Nothobranchius furzeri: one gene and its partner. The protein of the gene in region 1 interacts with the protein of each later gene in a pairwise test. Links are inferred from orthologs where the notes say so. Each region holds a gene or a part of one and is shown on either strand. Other genes may lie near its edges.

The links.
Region 2: the proteins of hspb11 (region 1) and ift27 interact in binary tests that used the Homo sapiens proteins (3 or more experiments, as listed by UniProt). The two-hybrid records come from large-scale screens. The link is inferred for Nothobranchius furzeri from reciprocal best matches to the Homo sapiens genes IFT25 and IFT27.

What each region holds. Positions count from the first base shown.
Region 1 is NC_091757.1:41,300,389-41,304,682, reverse strand, and holds the start of hspb11 (intraflagellar transport protein 25 homolog), read left to right. Parts: upstream 1-1,187; 5' UTR 1,188-1,316; coding exon 1,317-1,408; intron 1,409-1,503; coding exon 1,504-1,610; intron 1,611-4,294. Other genes in the region: smn1 (survival motor neuron protein 1), read right to left, coding at 382-501, 583-654, 1,034-1,174. UniProt on the Homo sapiens protein: Component of the IFT complex B required for sonic hedgehog/SHH signaling.
Region 2 is NC_091746.1:76,148,382-76,152,909, reverse strand, and holds the start of ift27 (intraflagellar transport protein 27 homolog), read left to right. Parts: upstream 1-1,676; 5' UTR 1,677-1,806; coding exon 1,807-1,840; intron 1,841-2,249; coding exon 2,250-2,329; intron 2,330-4,528. Other genes in the region: synaptogyrin-1, read right to left, coding at 706-807. UniProt on the Homo sapiens protein: Small GTPase-like component of the intraflagellar transport (IFT) complex B that promotes the exit of the BBSome complex from cilia via its interaction with ARL6. Not involved in entry of the BBSome complex into cilium. Prevents aggregation of GTP-free ARL6.

The DNA of each region.
Region 1 (4,294 bases):
ATTTATATATGCATCAACTGAAATCTGTCAGTTCAGTTCTTAGTCATTCAAAAGTGTTATCATCTTTAAGCCACAGTTTTGTCATGAGATAATAACATTTGATTTTTTTTCTGCTTTGAAATTAAAATTTAAAGTGAATAAAAATAATTAGCGATTGTGTTTTCATGCAGCTGTATTGTAATGATTATAACTAAATGTAGCTTATAGGGTGCCAAGCAAAAAAAAAAAAGCTAAATCTTTTTTAAAAAGTGTTTATTTTAAAGCTTTTGGATTATGCAAGGAAGATGACTTAAAGAACAGATAACAAAGCATGCAAAAATGTATTTTTAAACTCAAATATTAGACATTTTTAAGGCTGCAACATTACAAAAAGTTCATTACCTCTTTCTCTGGGGCTACATTGTTTCTTTTCCCATTCTGGTTCTTTTTGTTGTTCTTCCGTTTTTTTCCTGGTAGGTTTTTCTTAGGAGCTTGAGGTTCATCTTCACCCTTCAGGGCAGTCTGGCACACATAATGGGCATCATTCTAACAAAACAAACAGAAGACTGTGCATGCAGGCACACCTAAAAGCACCCAGTTTACCTTGAATGATGCAACTGCCTTGTCGTAGGCTTTTATCAGTGCGGTATCATCCCAAATATCCGAATCATCACTCTGAAAAAGAAGGAAATGCATTTAGAGGGTCTGCCTTACTTTGGTGCATGCTTATCCAAATATTTAGGTGGTACCTCTGTTCCTGTCACAGACCAGTGCTGTTTACAAGCTCTACTTCTAAAGCACTTCACTCAAAATACGAAGTTCTGATGCAGCTTGAGTGAATTTTGTGTGATTTATATCCTCCACCTCGACTAATAAAACCCAACAACAGCTATTGCTGTTTTGTGACCCTGTTTATCTTTGTTGTCCAACTAGCTAAACTTACCGGTGGTTTGTAGCTTAGCTTCCTAGCTTCTCGTTTTAAATAGATCTACAGGAAATAAAAAAATAGTTCGTATACTTTATCCAGTTCGACTAATAAATGTTTTAAACACACCTGCCCAGTTCCACGGGTAAATAACACGTCTCTACATCCATTCGCCATGTAGGAACACTGAAATGTGTGCCAATCGTTGTCAATTTCTGGACCCAACAATGTGCGTCGGAAGCGAGTGACTTGAAGTGACGTATATATCATGCGACAACGCTGTTGGCCTGGCAACATCTACAGCTTCACACGCCACAATAAAACAGCAGCTAAACCCAGCTTTTGATGAGTTTTTATCATTAAACCTGCTGATACGCACGTTTAGGCGTTTCCACCGCGGGACCAGATCGTTATGAGCGATTCATCTTTCAACTCTTTGGGTGTAAAAGTCGTTTTCGCTTCTTCCTGCGATGAGAATCACCCACCAGAAAACATTATGGACGGGTACTTGCTGCGCTTTGCAACACTGTTTGTCGTCTATATTCTAAATAGCATCGTATCTGATTAATTTTATTAACGTATTTTTTGTCCACATCTAGGAATACAAAAACATTTTGGACGTCCACTGGGATGTTTCCTCAAGAGTTCGTCATTCGTTTTCCTGAGCCCACGAGGGTTGCTGCGGTGACAGTGGAGAGCTACAATGGTACGAAGACCGTAGTGACAATAAATAGTACACACTGTCCAGGCTCTGTGATGAGCATAGCAACACCCTGAAGCAATGCTACTAGTTGCAAATATTTTGTTCGAAACTACCTTTTAGATTTTCCACCCACTTGTCTCACAAAACTAATTAGAGACATACTTTATACATCTCTAACACAATATAGGCTACATAAGTGTATTTGCACAGACCTGTAATCAGATGTTTATTATTCCCAGCAGCTGTGCTGATATTTAAAGGGGACACATTATGCAAAATTTCCTTTTGCATCCTTTTGTGCTGCCATGTGTGTCTCTACTGCCTCTAATCACTCCAAACTTCTTCCACAAGGACACACAAGTTCAGATGTTCAGATCGGGCCAGACAGGGAGTCAAACACAAAACAGTGTTCAGAATTTTTCTAAATAAAGATTACTTGCAGATACTCAGTAGCCTAACTAGTAGAAAAGTTTGTCACTATCTGTGAAGCCTCAGTGGAAGAAGTAAATTGATCAGAAAAGAAACCACAGACATTTTGGTTAAACACTGCCGTCTTTTCCTTTGCGTTTTGTCGCGTGTACTGCTGAAATCATGCGTGACCCTGCAGTTCTTTGGTGATTTTTTTTTTTACCTTGCGGGAACAGCTGCTTGGAATGCTTTTGCTACTGTTTCACATCGGAAATGCACCTGGTGGGAAGGGAGCTTGCGGGTAAAACACGCCTATTACATTAAAACACACCTATTACAGTACACACTAGCTTACGCATCCAGTGGAAAGATGGGGTATGAAGCCACAACATGCTTTTGTTTTATTCTGAAATCAGGTAAAAATAAATAAAATAAAAGGCAAGAGGCTAATGTTGGGCCAACAATGAATAAAAAAAATAGTCAACTCTAAAAATATCTCAAGCCACGTTTTTGAATACCAACAACTTGATATTACAGTGAAATGTATTTATTTACTTATCAGTTAACTGTGTATGGCTAGTCTTTACTTGTCATCAAGAATCTTCTGGGGCTGATCCGTCACTGGCGACAGCTAAACAGAGCAGACTCTGTTTATACAGACTGCAGTACCCAAATTTGACCACAGGATGTCATTCCCAAATTGTGACCCTTTAAGAAAAACAGTCATTTCTTTTTTAAGTAAACATAACTTAAATTAACCCTTTGATGCATAATGGTCACTACAGTGGACAGGTACTCAAAATAGTTATTTGTTTGTTTTTGCTATTAAGCACAGCTGTTGAAGACTTTATTGCATGTGAGCACCTCCATTTGTACTTCAGTAAGCCAGGCCAACATATTTCATGCTCAGAATGCACACTGTCCACTGAGGTGGACATGTAATAAATAATTTGTAAATTATAAAATTTTACGAAAAATATTAGTTGAAATTTGTTTCATTCGCACCTAAAGACGAATGAAAAAAATTGTAAAAAAAATCATGGTTGAAGATTTCATAATTCATGCATCAAAGGGTTAATCAATAAGAGACAACTTAACTTTAATGAGTAAAGTTAACCAAAAAAATGATTGATTTATTATTTTATGTTTCTATATTCCATTCATCTTTACATCAACCCTAAAGTGCGTCTGATAAACAGACTTGTATATTGTTTTATTTTAAATATTTGTGGATTTACAAGAAAAACAACCACAAACTAGCAATTTTGTTGGATTTCAGGAACAATAAACAACTGGTGGGGGAGGTGCATTGTGGGTAGTTATGTTTTCAGTTATTTAGCTCTATTTTGGGGTGTTTATGCATGTCTGTTTTGGAGGATTGTTGTTCTCAGTTATTATTTCATTCAGTGTTGCAGATGTGGTGTTACTTTTTGTATCATGTTGGCACCATAAGTGAGGAGGTTGGTCAAAGTAATGCTGTATGGCTGTGCTGTCCCATTGTTAATAATACTGTGGTTATTCACACCAGATGCTCTTGACTTGACTTTGAGTGTTCCACTTTCATTGGCTGTTAGCATTTATGGGTGTGTGAGTAATGATCTGGTGCTAGTTACTGCCTTCACCAGCCTGCCACATTGTCATTTCTAAGTAAATTCAACTCATTTGGGTTAGGGTTTATTAGGTCCATTTAGAGTTCATATAAGTTATAATATTTAAGTTAGTAAAAACATGTAATAAAGTTCAAATAAAATAAAATATGCAAGTTTAGTTAAATTAAACTTTATAAGTTGCTTAAGTACCAAGTTATAAGCTGGAGGTAGTTAAATGCTTTGATTTTATTCAGGTCATATTTTTTAAGTTATGGTAAACTTATAGTTTTTAGATAAGTTAACTTAAAAATTATTAGGTAATCAGTTTCCTCATAAATTTTGAGTTCAGTGAACTTATTCGGGGTTACAGTGTGTCCCCATTAAGAAAATCTTATTCACTGCCTCTCGTTTATCTTTAAAGCATATTTTTGTCCACCTGACTTAGTTTAGAGGTTTAGAACGGTATAATCATATTATTATAAACTGACACTCATGAGCCAAGTTCACATTTTAAACAAGTTTATTAGTTTTAGTTGAAAAAAAAACTGTGCTTTTCCAATCACATCTCTAAGATACGAGGGCTTTTAAATCAGTTTTTAATAATAAAAAAAAAAGCAACAATGAGATTTTTTTGCATTAAAAATGACATTATTATTATAAGCTAAAAATGGTAAACTTCAAATTTGCATT
Region 2 (4,528 bases), on another chromosome or scaffold:
AATGTAAACTGCTCTAACTCTGAGAATTTTTAACAAAGAAACTCTCTATTTAGTACCAAAATTCAAAATTTTTTAAGTATCACAGGTTTGAATTGTAAATGACAGATATATAACTTTTTTCACCAGTTCTTTTTTAACTAAACTTAAGCTTAGAGTAAAATCCTGCAACAGCAATGAGTTTATGTTTACAACTGAAAATACATGATTGTCTCCGATTCTGTTTTATTTTTATTATAAATAACAAAATGTGGGTCTAGGGTGTTTTTGAGGTTGAATGCTTCACACGAGAGACTCCCAGCCCCCTAAAATGTAACAGGAATGATAACTTTGAGGGATGTTGGTGGCCATGAGCTGATGTAAAAAGTTTACCTGCTGTTGCTGCCACCCCAAAAGTAGAATGATTAAAAGCTTATACAGCCTAATTAAATATTTTCGGTCTAATTCCTTATCTGTTCATTTAAACGTTAAGGTTGTTTACGATCAAACGGGCCTCACGTGGTGACTGCATCAACATCAGCTCAGCTCACAGAAACAAATAAGAATATCTATCTATAACGTGTGATACACAGTAATAGCAGTTTCTGGATCAACAAAAACATGAAGTGATTTCCAGACTTTGACACAGGCCTGTTTAATCCACAGAAAGCGATTCGACAACTCTAGCTGGTTTATTTATCTGTGTTGTTGCTTTGAGTGGTTTCTTACCCAAGACACTATGCGGAGAATGGTCTGAGGCTGCTGGAGGAAGGTGACAGGGTCGAAGGCTCCTCCAGCTTTCCCCGCTCCGTATGCCTGCATCCCCTCCATTGTCCTCCTCCTCTCTGGGCGGCCGCCTCTGAGATCCCCTTCTCCTTCCCCGCTTCAGCTTCAAAGGCACAGTGTGTGTGCGCGTGTGTGTGAGGGTATGTAGAGCACCGGATAACCGAAAGACGCACAAATCTCTGGTCCTACCACTCTGACCGCTGTCTCAGTGACTCTGCACCCAGGCTCCCTGACGCGCCACCTCTCCCCTTTTTTCTTGCTTGTAGTAAATTTAACCTCTGTGTCCCTCTGCACGGAGGTGCGCGGTGGTGTTTTGATGACGTTTCTCCCCTTCTGTAAGCTCCTAGAGCCCGTGGCAACCACGAGAACGCGCTTCCGCTCGGACAGTGCGTGTTTTATCTTTGGGAGCGCATCCTCGATAAAAACATCCAATACGCATGGCGCACGCGCCTGTGCTCACGGTGTCGCACAGAGGTAGTCACGTGCCTTAAATTGATTTAATCAAAGCGCGTCCCTGTTAGGAAGAAAAAAAATCAGAAAATTAAATTTTTTAAAACAATTACGACCCAGTTAAATAAAGAAGAAAATCTGAGTTTTTGCATTGAAAACGCTTCCAAATACTTTATTCTGAAACGTATGTTTTGTACCCTCTAGCGGTTATATCTCATAACGCTTGAAATTTTATTTATATTACGTTTTTACATACATGCAGTTTTTCAGTATTTACAAGTATGTGTCATGATTAGTGTTAAGAAAAACATTTAAAATGTCCTATTTACTTATCTCCGTCGGATCGAATGAGCCATGCCTGACAGATCTTGCTCGGGGGCGAAGTTCTCCAACATATCAAACAGCCAATGAAAGCGTTACGTATACACTGCGTACACCAATAAGACGCTACTTTAGATGGTTGCTAGGAAACGATTTGTGTCCGAGTTGCTGCGTTGAACAGTATTTAGAAGATTAGCAGTAAAAGTCAATATTATCCAGATTATTGAATTAAGTGCATATTTTACTCATCGCGTCACGAAGGCTTGCGCTGCAATGGGGAAATTGAGGGCAAGGTGTCTGCTTGTCGGTAAGGTTTCCTATGTTTGGCTAACGTTTGCTAGGCTAACGCTAACCAGTCGAGATTTAAGCTATCGGTTAGCTTCAAATGTAAAATAACAAAACACTCTCTAGTCTTTGATACTTAGCTAACCTCCATTTATATACGAGCCTTTTAGGGAATAATTTACCAGATTCAGTATTTCTCATTAGCGTTCAACAATGCAACACCAGACACATCACAACAAATCTTGTTTATCTTCAAGATGAAGCATAAATATATTGATAATATAAACTACAGCGCTTAAATAAATATAATGAGCAAGTTTTCATTTATTTAAACGAGTTCTTCCTTGATGTTTTTTTTTAAATGAGGAAACTGCAGATGCAAAAAGATCATAAACTTCTGTTTTCTACTGTTTTTATTCCTGTTCATGCAGGAGATGCAGCCGTGGGGAAAAGTTCTCTGTCCCATATATTCTACAGCGGTGGATCTCTCTTTCAGAAGAACTATAACATGGTGAGATGATCTGTTTTTAAAATATTGATGCTCAAACACTGCTGTCTAATCTAAAGCAGCTATTTAGTAAAAATAGTAACATGATGTTTATTTACTTGAAAGTATTTCTGCAGTTTTTGTGATGAATTTAGAAATTGCATTTTTCTTTTCCCCTATCACTTGTTTTATTCATGTCGATTCAATTAAGTCACTAGTTTAAAATATCAGAAATAATGTGATTTGTGTGTTATGAAACACAGCAGCATTCATTCCTTGTTATTAAATCATTGCTTAAGATAAAAGCTAGCACAATTTTCAAAGAATCGGAAACCCTCACATTTTCAGAGAAACCTTACAAGCTTTTTACAACTTGTTTGGATCTTTTGTACTAGGACTTACTGAAGTGCAAAACAGCATGATGTACCAACTAACACTGATGTGGAAAAGTAATCTGCATTATTTATGCCTATCTTCATGTGAGAATGAGTCGTGTCATTAACCTAACTCTGTCATGAATGGATGTCACTGCTGTTCATCGTTTCTTTCAGCCAATGTTCAAAGGGATTTAGGTTAAATGCGCACACATACACTGCAAATGCAGGTACTGGTGACTTGAATTATAGTTACGTATTTTGCATGCTTCACTTTACCACTAAGCCCTGTGAGTCATTAAAGTACTGAACAGAAAAATACCGGATTATAGCCATGTGTGTGTGTGTGTGTGTGTGTGTGTGTGTGTGTGTGTGTGTGTGTGTGTGTGTGTGTGTGTGTGTGTGTGTGTGTGTTTGCTCTGGTCTTGCTGCCTCAGCAGTATCAGGGTTCCGAGGTGACAGGGGTGTCGATAATTAATACAGCAGGATTCTGGAAAGTCACTAGAACAGCTACTTAACAAGCAAACACACAGAGCCCCAAACAACACAGTTTCTCAATACTGTACCTGTTTGTTTGTGATGTTGTGAAAAAGTTAATACAAAAGGAAAAGTATAACCAAATAAATAAATACAATTTGTGCAGGAAAAGCACATTTCCTGCATGTTTTAGATCATGAACACAGCTGAGCTTATTAATTTAGTGATGAACCTCTTTTGTAGACACTAAGGAAGGCTGGGGAGATGTTTCAGCTTTCAGATTAAGGTGTTTGTTTTTGGATGGACCCACAGTGAGGAGATAGGTTTTGCTTTCGGTTCTACAAACGGACACTAGAGAGTGCTAAAAGCACGCTTAAACGGCCTAATCTCCCGTTAGGTTTCACTGAGAAAAGTATGTAAGTTGTTTTTCATCAAATACGGTTGGTCACACTGAGTTGAATAAATGCATGCTGAACGTAAAAATAGTCTCCAGTCCCTATTTTCTACATTAGTCACTGAAAAAAAACAGACGTCAGTGCTTGGGTCAGAACAAGCCACACAGATCTAAGTCACACTGCAAAATTAGCATTTAAGGACTTATCAACCTTGGCTTGTGACCGCAGTCGGCTGTGTTGATAAAGCAGCCATAAGACCGCAGAGTGTGTACCGGCTAATAGAAACTATCCATTAGCAATAGCAATTCTGTTTGTATTGATGCACTTTTTTTCGCACACAATGACGAATATTGTCGAAGAAATCATATTTATGTCAAATTGAACTGCTAAAACATTGATTTACTTTCTTTCTTTAGTCTTCCTCATCCAACCCCATAAATCCCTGTGTGTCCTCCTCCTACAGCGCTCCCGAAGGACAACAGACATCAATAGCAACACAAAAAAAGTCTGGCGTGTTGTGTAAAAACTGTTATTTTTAGGATGCTTATAGGTACGACGTGTTGCTACCAGACGTACGGTGTGAGCACTCGAGTCACATCCGAGAACTGGGTCGTACAGTGTGAGCACATGACTCGTGAGATTTGCTCTTCGAGGAAGTCGTACAGTTTGAGCTGAAGCTGAACGCTACGAGTGAAACAGTCGCACAGTGTCCGCCCGGCTTTAGCCAGTCAGAGTCAAGTTGGCTGAATGTAATAAATATTAATGAGTAAGATTCCAACCCAAATCAGTCTGCTCAGCTGGGACATTGTTAAATTGACTAAACCATTTTGCAGTGGCTGGTGTTGTTTCATGTTATCAAGCCAATCTGCTGAGCTGCTGATTCACAGCTACAATTAGCACAGGAACCATAGGCTAGTTTGACTAATTAGTAGTACCCAGTACATCAACTGCAAACAGATATTTTCATGAAAAAAAAT